Linked DNA regions of Caenorhabditis elegans. The protein of the gene in region 2 purifies or fractionates together with the protein of the main gene of each other region. This does not show direct contact. Each region holds a gene or a part of one and is shown on either strand. Other genes may lie near its edges. The genes, in order: such-1, emb-1 and apc-1.

The links.
Region 1: the proteins of emb-1 (region 2) and such-1 purify together in Caenorhabditis elegans (affinity purification with mass spectrometry, with the first as the bait; one study listed by BioGRID). This does not show direct contact.
Region 3: the proteins of emb-1 (region 2) and apc-1 purify together in Caenorhabditis elegans (affinity purification with mass spectrometry, with the first as the bait; one study listed by BioGRID). This does not show direct contact.

What each region holds. Positions count from the first base shown.
Region 1 is NC_003281.10:11,521,561-11,526,010, forward strand, and holds the start of such-1 (Suppressor of spindle checkpoint defect 1), read right to left. Parts: upstream 2,200-4,450; 5' UTR 2,199-2,199; coding exon 1,999-2,198; exon of another isoform or gene 1,994-1,998; intron 1,948-1,993; coding exon 1,822-1,947; intron 1,752-1,821; coding exon 1,488-1,751; intron 1-1,487. Other genes in the region: Y66D12A.16 (Spen family transcriptional repressor), read left to right, coding at 2,844-2,982, 3,039-3,314. UniProt on the Caenorhabditis elegans protein: Probable component of the anaphase promoting complex/cyclosome (APC/C), a cell cycle-regulated E3 ubiquitin ligase that controls progression through mitosis and the G1 phase of the cell cycle.
Region 2 is NC_003281.10:5,171,189-5,174,909, reverse strand, and holds emb-1 (Anaphase-promoting complex subunit emb-1), read right to left. Parts: upstream 1,472-3,721; 5' UTR 1,465-1,471; coding exon 1,333-1,464; intron 1,264-1,332; coding exon 1,150-1,263; 3' UTR 1,101-1,149; downstream 1-1,100. Other genes in the region: cid-1 (4Fe-4S ferredoxin-type domain-containing protein), read right to left, coding at 82-539, 837-918; K10D2.5 (uncharacterized protein), read right to left, coding at 1,674-1,811, 1,858-1,950, 1,995-2,120; prp-19 (Pre-mRNA-processing factor 19), read left to right, coding at 2,868-3,020, 3,117-3,721. UniProt on the Caenorhabditis elegans protein: Probable component of the anaphase promoting complex/cyclosome (APC/C), a cell cycle-regulated E3 ubiquitin ligase that controls progression through mitosis and the G1 phase of the cell cycle.
Region 3 is NC_003280.10:11,105,839-11,110,288, reverse strand, and holds the start of apc-1 (Anaphase-promoting complex subunit 1), read right to left. Parts: upstream 2,129-4,450; 5' UTR 2,066-2,128; coding exon 2,012-2,065; intron 1,959-2,011; coding exon 1,629-1,958; intron 1,585-1,628; coding exon 1,155-1,584; intron 870-1,154; coding exon 723-869; intron 719-722; exon of another isoform or gene 677-718; coding exon of another isoform or gene 472-676; intron 418-471; coding exon of another isoform or gene 267-417; intron 1-266. Other genes in the region: glb-4 (GLOBIN domain-containing protein), read left to right, coding at 267-417, 472-676; nasp-1 (Protein NASP homolog 1), read right to left, coding at 2,347-2,439, 2,498-3,073, 3,123-3,489, 3,541-3,653; C09H10.9 (YqaJ domain-containing protein), read right to left, coding at 4,327-4,359, 4,404-4,450. UniProt on the Caenorhabditis elegans protein: Probable component of the anaphase promoting complex/cyclosome (APC/C), a cell cycle-regulated E3 ubiquitin ligase that controls progression through mitosis and the G1 phase of the cell cycle.

The DNA.
Region 1 (4,450 bases), 6.4 Mb from region 2:
TTTTTTCGACTGAAAAACTTTGAAAAAAAAATTAATTTTAGACCGAAAAAATTTTTCAAGGAAAAATGTATGAATTTTCACTGAAAATTTGCGGTTTTTTGGCTTTTTTGGGTGGAAAAATTCCGTAAAAAATTCATTTTTTGGTCAAAAAATCGCAAAAATTGTGTATTTTTCCGTTTTTTTTTCAGTAAAAAAAATCGAAAGCTTAAATTTCGTTCAAAAATTAATTTAAATCCCCCACTTTTCTGGTTTTTGAAAGCTTTTTGGTCCTTAAAGACCAAAAAAAGTCTCCTAAAATAGCTTTTTTTAAATTTTTAACCAGAAAATAGTAATTTTCACGAATTTTTGACAAAAAAAGATTTTTGTTTGGGTTTCTAATCGAAAATGCCGAAATAATCGTAATACATTGACGAAAAAAAATTTGAACCCATTCGAAAGAACAAAAAATTCGCAATTTTTACGATTTTTCAACTGAAAAAACGGGTTTAACGATTTTTTTGACTGATAACCCAAAAAAAAATCAGTGTTACCGGTTTTTAGACTGAAAACCGAATTTTCAACGTTTTACTACAGAAAAAAGCAAAAAGACTCGCAATTTTGACGTTTTTCCTACCGAAAAACGCTTCTTGTTTGATTTTTCTCAAAACAAAACCTCAAAAAAATTTATTTTATACCGAAAAATCGAATTGTCAAGGGTTTCCCATTCAAAAGAACAAAAAATTCGCATTTTTTACGATTTTTCGACTGAAAAACTCAAAAGAAACATCAATTTTAACCGGTTTTTTGACTGAAAATCGAATTTTCACCGATTTCCTACAGAAAAAAAGCAAAAAACTTGCAATTTTAGCGCTTTTCAAACCGAAAAAACATTTTTTTCTTCAATTTTTCCACCCAAAAAAGAAAAAAAAGCTAAAAAGCAAAATTTTCTGTTTTCAGAATTTCCTAAAAAATCCAAAAATTACAATTTTTTCTTTTTTTGGGTGGAAAATCCTTGAAAACTCGATTTTTCAGTCTTAAAATTACGAAAACTCGATTTTTCGGTCTAAAAAAACGCAAAATATGCAATTTTTCAGCTTTTTTAGGTGGAAAAACCTTGAAAAGAATTTTTCGGTAAAAAAATTGTTTAAATTTTTTTCGTCAATGTATTACGATTATTTCGGCATTTTTCGATTAGAAACCCAAACAAAAATCTTTTTTTTTTTGTCAAAAATTCGTGAAAATTACTATTTTCTGGTGAAAAATTTAAAAAAAAAGCTATTTTAGGAGACTTTTTTTGGTCTTTAGGGACGAAAAAGCTTTCAAAAACCAGAAAAGTGGGGATTTAAATTAATTTTTGAACGAAATTTACGCTTTCGATTTTTTTTACTGAAAAGAAAAACGGAAAGATACACAATTTTTGCGATTTTTTGACCAAAAAATGAATTTTTAACGGAATTTTTCCACCCAAAAAAGGCAAAAAATCGCAATTTTTCAGTGAAAATTCATACATAATCTCTAAAGTTCCTGAAATAATCCATTTTTGGAATTTCTCTGCAATCTCAAAAGTTCCATTCTGCGAGGTTCTTGTGTACTGCATCATGACGCGTTTTATCCAAATATACAAAAACGAGTTGCTATTCATAAAAGTGAGCTCGTCGAGCCAAGAATCTTCACGTTTTAGCACTTTCTCGTGATTTGGACGTTTTGCAGTGTAGAATGCGTCTTCAAAGAGCATTTCTATTTGATCTTCACCGTGCGCGAGCTTTTCCATGCTGAAAATTACGAAAATCACGTTTTTTGTGTTGAAAAAACTCGGAATTTTGAAAAATTATTCTAGAAAACCTTGTAACAAATCGATAATAAATGGATCGCCCGAGCCCATCGTTCAAAATTCTCACGATACAGCGAAAATCGTCGTAGGAAATTTCAGATTTCATGATGATTAAGCCATAGAGAACTGTGAATACTCTGAAAAACCAAATTTTATTTTTCATTTTCAACATTTTTATTCCAAAAAACCGAGTTTTCTCATCCTTATCGAAAGGCTTCAGGCTTGGCACCGCGCCAACTCCGAAATGTGCGTGAAAAAGTGTGCGAATTAGTTGAAAAATGGCGATTTTCGTTGGTGTCACAGGTTCGCCGGTGATATTCAGTAGAGTATGGCCAAAAAGTGAATCCAGACTGACGATTCGTCGAGTTTGCGCTTTTTTCGGAGGCATTCTGGAAGAAATTGAGGTTAAAATGCATTTAAATGAGGGAAAACGGGTTTTGAAAAGCGCGCGCGCGCCAAAAAGTTGTCTGTGGCGCATTTGAACGAATTTTCTGAGAAAAATCATGGAAAATACATTTTATTTAGCAATGTATCTGAATTTTTGCCAAAAAATCGAGAAAATGTGTTTTTTATGCGACAAATGAAAATACACTTTATTCGGCAAATTATTGATTATTTGCGCAAAAAACACTGAAAAATCGAACAAAAATTGAGAAAAAACCAGAAAACAGGGATTCGGGCCTAAATTCATCGGAAAATGTGTTACTGGACGGTTTTTTTCGCGCGAAAATGATGGAAAATGCAATTTATCTGACAAATTATTGATTTTCTCCGAAAAAAATACACTGAACAATAGGGAAAACGGAAATTTTCGACTTCAAAATAAAATAAAAACAAAACAAATTAAATTTTGTTTTCCGAGAGACCGCTCTTCAGCACACACATCGAGAGAGACGCAGAGAATCGGGTACGGTAGCGCGGTGGGTCTCGCCACGACATTTTTTGTCATTCAAATTTTTTTTTGTGTGTTTTAAAATTTTTTCATGCGCAAATCCACGCATTTCTCACTTTAAAACGCGTTTTTCAATAAAAAATGACTTCAATCGCCGTAGAAGAATTATTTGGAAGAAATTTAGAAACGAGCCGTGCACCGAATCCTTGGCCAGCGCCGAGCACACAAGAAACTGAGCCATTTGAAATGTTCGGTAAAGGAGCTGGATCCTTTTTTGACGGTATTTATTTGAAGCTAAAAATTTATTTTTTTAAATCTTTTTATTTCATTTTTCAGACAAGCCGTCCTCCGACTCGGAAGACCAAAAAGATGTGAAAAAAGCTAATCAAGCGGCCCGTGACTCGTATTATGGAGCCTATTCCTACGCAACTCAAGATTTCTCATCGTCACGTGGATTGTCGAGAGATATGGAGCAACTGAAGTCTCCCGCCAAATCTGAAAGTAATGGCACTTTGAGATCGGAGCATCAATGGCGTGATAAGAGACGAGAAAACCACCGACGTCCATTGAAGGAACACCATCGAAGAAACGAAACTCGCAGGGATTACAGATGTATGCGGCACCTCACGAACTCCAAAATTCGCGGGAATTCGTTTCGCGGGGACAGCAGTTTTTGGCTGTTTTTGGCTTCTATAGGAAATTATTTTTGATTTTTTGTTTTATAATATTCTTGAGAAGCATCATCCGAATTTAAAATGTGTGAAATTATGAAATTTGACCGAAAACTGAAGGTTTTACAGGAAGGATTCGCTACGGCTTTCTTTAAAATGTATCAGAATCGTCAGTTTTTCGATTTCAGTCGTAAAATATGCCATTTTGTAGAGAAAAGTCTGTTTCACAAAAATCCATGTTTGACATTTCAAAATTGTTTTTATTTAAAACCTGAAAAATCGAAAAAATAAGCTTTTAAAGGTGGAGTAGCGCCAGTGGGGAAATTGCTTTAAAACACGCATATGGTACCACAATGACCGAATATCATGATAAAAATTTTTTCTAGATTTTATATGATTTTTTGAAAATTGAAAAAATCTCAGTTTTGCCTAATTCCTATTTGAATTACCGCCAATTGGATTTGTTCGATGGAGCGCGCTTGCACGTTTTTATTTTTATTTATTGTTATTTTTTCTTATTTTTCACCGACTTTTCATGTTTTCAGTGTATTTTTGTCTGAAATTTGAAGAAAAAGTCAAAATAAATGCTATTTTTTGAAATTAATTAATTCGGGTTCGAAATCGCTTAAATGCATTTTTTTAATTTAACGCCTGTAAGCGTGCTGTTTAATCGAAAATTAGCATTTATTTTGACTTTTTCTTCAAATTTCAGACAAAAATACACTGAAAACATGAAAAGTCGGTGAAAAATAAGAAAAAATAACAATAAATAAAAATAAAAACGTGCAAGCGCGCTCCATCGAACAAATCCAATTGGCGGTAATTCAAATAGGAATTAGGCAAAACTGAGATTTTTTCAATTTTCAAAAAATCATATAAAATCTAGAAAAAATTTTTATCATGATATTCGGTCATTGTGGTACCATATGCGTGTTTTAAAGCAATTTCCCCACTGGCGCTACTCCACCTTTAAAAGCTTATTTTTTCGATTTTTCAGGTTTTAAATAAAAACAATTTTGAAATGTCAAACATGGATTTTTGTGAAACAGACTTTTCTCTACAAAATGGCATATTTTA
Region 2 (3,721 bases):
TTTGCTATTTTAAAGTTTAAAGTACGAATTTTGTTCTATTGGAATACAGCGAATGATTTTAATTTTTTATTCACAACTAACCGTAAAATTGTTATCAATTTGAATAGGTACATTCTTTTCCAACGGAAATGAGCTCATTGGATACTGGACAGTCTCTTGAAATGTTTGAGCCGACACGGCTGACCCGGCATTTTTGGAGAAATAATACTCTTGCGTCTGTTTTTTGTTGGCTTCTGCTTGTCGTCCAGCAACATTAATCGTTGTTTTCTCTGGAGTAGTAGGATTTGAATTCCATCCTTTCAATGAAGCTCCCGAATCGCCCAATTCAACAGCCATCAATGGTTGTACAGCGGCAACCAAGGGTCCTGGTGGCGCATTCCGATTTATTGGAGATGTTGGCTGAGAATCCTGATTTCGTTTCAGAATTGTGACTTTTTGAGGAACGATGTTCATTGGAGGACGATTTTGCGATGGATTTCTGCTCGTCTTTTGGGAGGAGGAAGCCGAATCAGCTGGACTGTTTGATGATCTTTTCCGGCCTGTAAGTTCAATGTTAGTTCAATATGAAAATTAAGAAAAAATGAAGAACACTCTGTTCGAAAATTGCTATAAAGTTTTCACTTTGTTTGATAAGAAAGTTGATAAATAAATAAAAGTGGCGTTTCTGCTAAAACTGTTCAATAACTTCAGGATTGATAAGGAAAAAGTTATAGTAGAGAGTGAATCAACGGTATTTTTGAATACTAAGAACAGTAAAACCTCAATCTTTAAGCAATACGAAGGGCCTAATATACTTCATTGTATGAATTTTTAAAAATGATTAGTCATGAACTCACCACTATTCTGGCTATTTCCTCCCCTTCCACCTCCAAGGGCTCCTCCTCTCCGCCTACTTCCAGACCTTTGCTCATCGGTCATCTCACAACTCTTTTTAATAATTACAGTACAATATTAATACCTATTATTCGGTTCGTCTTTCCCAATGAAACTGAAAAGAAGCGATTGAATAAAATCTGGAATAATTTGAGAACAAAATATTAAATTAGGTAATAACGAGGTCAGTACCTCGGAAATGAATTCCATAATTAAAAAAAATGGTATGCCAAATCGAGTTTTATTTACAGATAAATATGGTGTAGAATAGGGAATTCAAGGATTTGCAGGCATATTTGCTGCTGCATGGACAGCGTTCACATGACGTTGATCTTCACGAGTCAGAATAGCCACACTGTCTTGCAAGTGACGCAGAAGATCTTGATTATCCTGCAATAAATTTAGAATGAACAACAATGTACTTTTTCAGAAAAGTGTGATTTTGAAATAAAAACGTACCCATTGAGCTTGACGGTGCTCACAAATCGTGGTGATGAATGACTCTTTTGCTGGTGAGACTTCGGAAACCCACAAGTGCTCGGACCAGTTGAGTGGAGGTTGTGCTACGTGGAATGGGTACATCAAAGCCATACTTGATCTGTAAACGTGGTTTTTTGAATCAAAGTCATCTAAAAAACGGGCAAAAGTAAAATGAAGGTTGTTTCAGCCTATAATAATAAGAGATGTAAAAAGCAATGTATGAAAAAAAATAACCGTTTTATTTAACAACAAAAAAACACGATGTAACTGACACAACTTAAACAACCCGAAATTTGATCAAACTCCCGCTGAGATTTTAATTAATTCTTCAAAACGTGTCCGACGAATGGATATTTCCTAGCACAAATCGGTGCCCATTCAGGTCCACATCCTTCACTACTCTCGAAAAGATCGCGGTTGTTGTCATAGAGATCTTGTGAGCCAGAGAGGTCGTAAATCTGAAATAAACTTATTTTTTTGATAATCCGAAAAGTATTTTATTACTTTGTCTTCCACAATGACCAGGCACCTGTTCTCCTCGCGGCGCATGCTTTCGATTTCTTCCATTGTCATATCACGCTCTTCGAGCTGTTCGATCTGAGAAACAAAAATTCACATCCCAAGATTTATTTGCAAATTACCTCATATTTCGCTGGCTCATTGATTTTTGCAACAAGCATCCTTTTAACAATTTTATTCAAAGCCACGAGAAACACCACAAACACCGCAACATCGATGAAAGTGAGCTCATATTCCCCGATTTGCATTTTTTGGGAAGAAAATTCAAATCCAAATTATTTTTTCAAATCGTTTTTATTCCCCAGTCTCATGGCCGACATTTCTTCGGCCCCGCCCGGAAAAGCTGCAGCAAGTACGCTCCACTGCAGTTTTTCGAATTCTCATTGCATGGAATTCCTGAGACACCACGGTTTCAAGATCTGGTGGGATTCTCCGTTTTCCGGATCTACCATATCCGGATCTACGTTTTCCGGATCTACGTTTTCCGGATCTGGCACCGTGCCAACTCTTAAAACGCTATTTTTTCGAAGAAAAAAGTGACAACGACGCTGCGATGTTACGCGTCGCGTGTTCTTAAGCGTTTCTTCTAGAAGAAAATTTCGAAAAAAGTCGTGCGTTGAAAAGCGTTTTGTGCGTTGGCACGGTGCCAGATCCGGAAAACGTAGATCCGGAAAACGTAGATCCGGAAATGGTAGATCCGGAAAACGTAGATCCGGGATCCCATCAGATCTTGAAACCGTGGTGTCTCGAATTCCTTTGACTTGAAAACTTGCATTTTTTCATGAAAAACTGGTTAAAATTCTAGATTTTCTTTTAAAGACAAGTTTAAAACATTTGATCCAATGCGCCGTTCGATTAGTCACTAGCCAGAGTACGTATTTATTGACCACTCGTTCGATAAATGTAATTATCCTACAAAATTCGCATTGAAACTTTCTTCGTTTATGTCCCACGTCAATCAAGCGGTTTCGTGTATATTTTGCTACTTTCAGGAGATGTCTTTCGTGTGCGGAATCAGTGGTGAACTGACCGAAGACCCAGTCGTCTCTCAAGTCTCAGGGCACATCTTTGATCGTCGGCTGATCGTTAAATTCATTGCCGAAAACGGAACAGATCCGATCAGCCATGGAGAGCTTTCTGAAGACCAGGTTTGTCAACCTTGCAATTATCTTCACTGACGTGAAACTTCGAAATGATAATTCATTGAAAAAACAAAATAATAATTTCTAAAATTCATTTTTTAGCTCGTTTCATTGAAAAGTGGCGGCACTGGATCAGCACCACGCAATGTCTCTGGAACATCCATCCCATCTCTACTAAAAATGCTTCAAGACGAGTGGGATACAGTAATGCTCAACAGCTTCTCTCTCCGACAACAACTCCAAATTGCTCGTCAAGAACTTTCTCACTCTCTGTACCAACACGATGCCGCTTGTCGTGTTATTTCCCGCCTCTCCAAAGAATTGACCGCTGCTAGAGAAGCATTGTCTACTTTGAAACCACACACATCGGCGAAAGTTGACGATGATGTCAGCATTGACGAGTCTGAAGATCAACAAGGTCTTAGTGAGGCAATTCTGGCAAAACTTGAAGAGAAATCAAAGAGTCTGACTGCTGAACGTAAACAACGAGGAAAAAATCTTCCTGAAGGACTTGCCAAAACAGAAGAGCTCGCCGAGCTGAAACAGACAGCATCTCACACTGGAATTCATTCGACTGGAACTCCTGGAATTACTGCATTGGATATCAAGGGAAATTTGTCACTTACCGGAGGAATTGATAAAACCGTTGTCTTGTATGACTATGAAAAGGAACAGGTTATGCAAACATTCAAGGGGCATAACAAGAA
Region 3 (4,450 bases), on a different chromosome or scaffold from region 2:
CATCATTCACATTCGTGTCGTAGCTCACCATCATCTAAACACCGCCCACCACCACCTCGTAGATCACTTAGATAGTTTTCTCGATATTCTTCAGTTGATTTTGTTCGCTTCTACACTTTCCTTCTCACCACGTATATATATATATATATATAACAATAAATACACTAACTTCTAGGTTTGCTGTGTGCCGTGTGCTTTTCGTTTTATAGTTTTTTTGTTGTTGGTTTCTGTTGGCTAAATTCATATTCTAATTTACTCAAATCTAGCTCCAATGTGTGCTCTTCTTGGCTCAACAGAGAGCAACTCGACGACTACAACAACTCAGCCATCATCTCCAATTACTCCATATCGACGAAGAAGTATGTTCCGCGCGGGTGGAGCTCTTCAAAGGAATAGCCAAGACTTCACAGCACTACGGTATGTAACAATTTGACGGACATCAGCTATAATTCTCACTTCACGTATTTTCAGAAACCGCCGTATGTCTTCTCCCAACAACCCGTCAATTCTTCTAAATAATTGCGACATTCAACTGCTCAAGTTGACGTCTCAATTGAGCCCCCTCGAAGATCAAGTCAAACAGAATCGAGTGCCAGGACGAGCGCATCAGCAACGGCGAAGCATAACACTTTTAAATTTTGATCATCATCATCGTGCACGATCGCCCACGACTTGAGGTTAATGGTGCTAATAAATTTTTATGAATTAAAAAAAAAAATTACCTTCAAAATTCGGTGTTGGAAGTGTTGCAGGGTAGCCTGGAGCGTTCGGGTTGTTTGGAGTAGAATGTCCAAAACCGGATCGCAGATGAGGAGTGAACGGTGAGCGGCTATCAATTTCCGAGCTGATCACTTCGGAGAGCACATTTTCTGGAAAATAATTATGATTTTTTGTTGAATATAAATTAACTCGGACTTCCACACTATATCATAATTGAAAATATTTATTTTTTAGTTTTTAATCACAACTCTTTCTAATTTAACATTTGATTTTTTTAGTAGTTTTTGGGGAAAATCGAATTATTTCCTGTTCGAAACGAGGTTTTTTTGGTTTTTAACTTAAATCACTGTAAATTAACTAAATATTGACGATTTGAATGTCTGATACAATACGAATAATATATTTATCCAAAAGCTCAAGTTTTCAAAAATTACCGGCGGGAGAGTTGAGTGTCGGATCAAAATGCGTAGTTCTGCCGGCAGAATTCGGCGCCAAACTCGACGCGAACATTGTTGAATCAGACGGTCTTCTGAGTGCTTCAACGTATCGAATCGCTGCGTGAACTTCCTGTTCTTGTGTCTCTCGTGCCATATAAATCCGATGCGTCTTCTCCTTCTGATCATAGACAACAACGTAATTTTGCTGAGCGTCAACGAGTCCAGCCTCGTCTCGATGCGATTGCCAACAGAATTTCCATTGTGGATGGTAGCCGCTTGTCTTGTAGATAACCGGGAGAAGCTCGCCGAATGGACCGGATAGCGAGTAGAGGTGAAATGTGTCGTGATGGTGGAAGGTTTGTTCGCTGGATGAATCGTAGAACCGTTCGACCAGAAGACTTGTCGAGCAGGAGAACACGTTGCGAAGCTGGAAATATTTGAAATTATCAGAATTTCAAACTAAATTCTCACCTTAAAAGGAATTTCATAGTGATAGAAATGATAGTCGGGAAGCGATATGAACTGGAGCTTATGCTCACCGCACACAACCAAATAATCCCGATGCTTCGTATCAGGTCCACCACAATTCTCAGTTGCCAACTTTTCAGCGTTTCGAGTCACAATGAACGAGTGGAAGAACACTTTTTTGATATCAAACTCCATTTTGAACCGTCGTTTAATCATCTTCCGTCGCGTCGTTCCATCACAAATGAGAATAATTGGACCCGATGTGAAGACAAAATCCGTGGTCTTCTCCTTGTTTCGAAACGCGCAGACCACTGTATCCTGGGTGAAGAAATCCTGAAAATTTAAGTTTACTTTTTTTAAATTGTTAATTATCTAAAAAAAATTACCTTTCCAATTTCATCTCCCAGCTGAATATCAAACTGTTTATTAGCAGAGATCATATTTTTCCAATGGCAATCATCAAATTCTTCACTCATACAAGTATAATTCGAATTTGAATGAAGCTGAAAATCCTGTTTTAAATAGTAAAATTATTTTGGAAGTATGAAAAAGATTTGAAACAAATTATAAAAACGAATATATGGCGAATATATATATACAGAACAAGTTTTACTTTAGAATCCTTAAATTCGGATAACAGATAAAATGTTAATTGATACATTATCAGTAGTTCAGTAGGTCAGATCATGATGAAATATTTAGAATTACAGGTTATCAATATTCAGATCGAAGTTGTTCCTTCCTCCTCCTTTTCTTTCTTCACTGCTTGATTGTCAGTTGGAGCATCCACTGCTCGTTTTGCTGGACGACGAACCTGGAAATTTGTTAATTGAATATTTAAAAAGTCTACGGGAAGTTAATTCAAACCGTACCAAGCTAGAAATATCATTTGCTTCCTTCTGATCACCGGCTTCTTGTGGAAGTTTTGCCAATACTTGTGTGAATCCTTCGAATTGCGCTTTAATGGCCTTCTTAGTTTCCTCAACTTGTGCTGCAGAGTGCACAGCATCAGCAATCATTTCTTCAACGCCTGGCATCATCTCTTCAAGCTCCTTCAGCTCATTCTCAAATTCAGACTTCTTTTCCTTATCATCAACACCTCTTTCCAGCTCATGCTTCAACTCAGTCTGCCTGGCGATGAGTACGTCCTTGGTTTTGCCGAAGTACTGAACGGTTTCATCGTAATTCGCATCGCTAGCACACGCGTTTCCGATGAGAATGTAGGTTTGGGCGATTTTTCTCGACGACGGTGGAAGAACATTGCGCTGAATGTTGAGGGCACGATCCAAGTCCTCAAAAGCCTGAGTATACTTTCCATCTGATATTCCGTGCTCGCCGAGGAGAACCAGTACATCAGCGAGTTTCAGGTTCCATTCCTCAATGGCACTGATTCCACTCTGCTCAGCTTCTAGAGCTTCGATTTTGGCAGCGGCAATACAACGAGCTGTCTGAAAATAATCACAATTAAGCATAAAATCATTGAATAAAATAAGAAACCTCAAGAATTTCCCATGATAATTTCATGGTATCATCATCATCGTCCTCTTCTTCACCGGATTCCTCTCCGTCCTCCTTCTCCGTTTCTCCATTCTCTTCGTCAGTCTTGTCATCAGAATTTCCAGCTTGCTCCTCATCTCCGCTTTCCTTCTCACCTGGACCTTTCAGAAGTTGGCTCTCCTCCTTCGCCAATTCCAGTGTGGCCATGCCATAATAGTAAAGAGAATCGAACGTGTTTTCATGGTTTTCTCCATAAATTTCGGAGCTCAGTTCAGTAGCCTCACTCAACGAATCCGATGCTTTGTCGATATCGTTAACTTTCAACGCACGGCGTCCAGCTGCAAGCAACTCGGCGAGACGCTTCTCTCTGGAATACGAAAAGTGATTTTATTGATGATATTCTGCAGCAAAAGTTTACTTCTGCTCGACAGTCTCTTCTTCTGTAGTAGTCCCGTTTCCTTTTTCATCTGAATCTCCTGAAGCATCCTTCACACGAATATCAGAGGCGTCGGCGATGTTTTCAGTGTCCATTTTCTGATTTGTTAATATCTGAAAATAAATACTATTCGATATATATTCAAAATTCAATAAAAAGCGGATAAATTCAAATGAGTATAATAGCGCGGGAGAGCCTAGAAACCGAGCGTTGCCTAGTCCACTAAAAACCGGCCATACGGCGGGAATTAGTACGTTTCGAAAAGGTTTATCAATAAATGTTTTTAAACAAACATATAAACTGTATTCATGATGTTTTTAGAATTCTACCGCTAGAACAGACCGACAGGCCGATTTTTTGGTTGATTTCAGTTGATAATTCCAGCTTGAATCACTTATTAACACTGCCGCCGCTTAAAAACTTTTAATTAAACAAAAATAAACACAATACTTCAGCAAAACTTTCATTTGAAAAGAGAAAAAACAATTTTTTGGGAGTATAAACTTAAATTGTCAACAACAAATTTTCCCGCGCTGTGCAATGTTGCGTCTGCGTGCCGCACAGATATTACTGTAACGCATCACATATGACGAGCAATTGGAGTTTTCTTTATTTTTTCTTTTTTGTTTTTGCATTTTCTTTTGCCTATTTTCCTTCTAGTTCTTTAACAAAATGAATTTATTAAAAACTTTTATTCTAAATACTAGAGAAAAACTGTATATCACATAAAACTCGATGGCACATTGTTGAGAATCTTCCAAGTTGTAATTAAGTCCGCTCAGAAGTCGTTTTAGGCGATTTCTGAAAAGAAATTAAAATTATGTTTAACTGCTGTGTTTCAATACCTTCTTTAATTTTATTGTAAATTCGTTTTCCCCATTTTCTGAGTCGT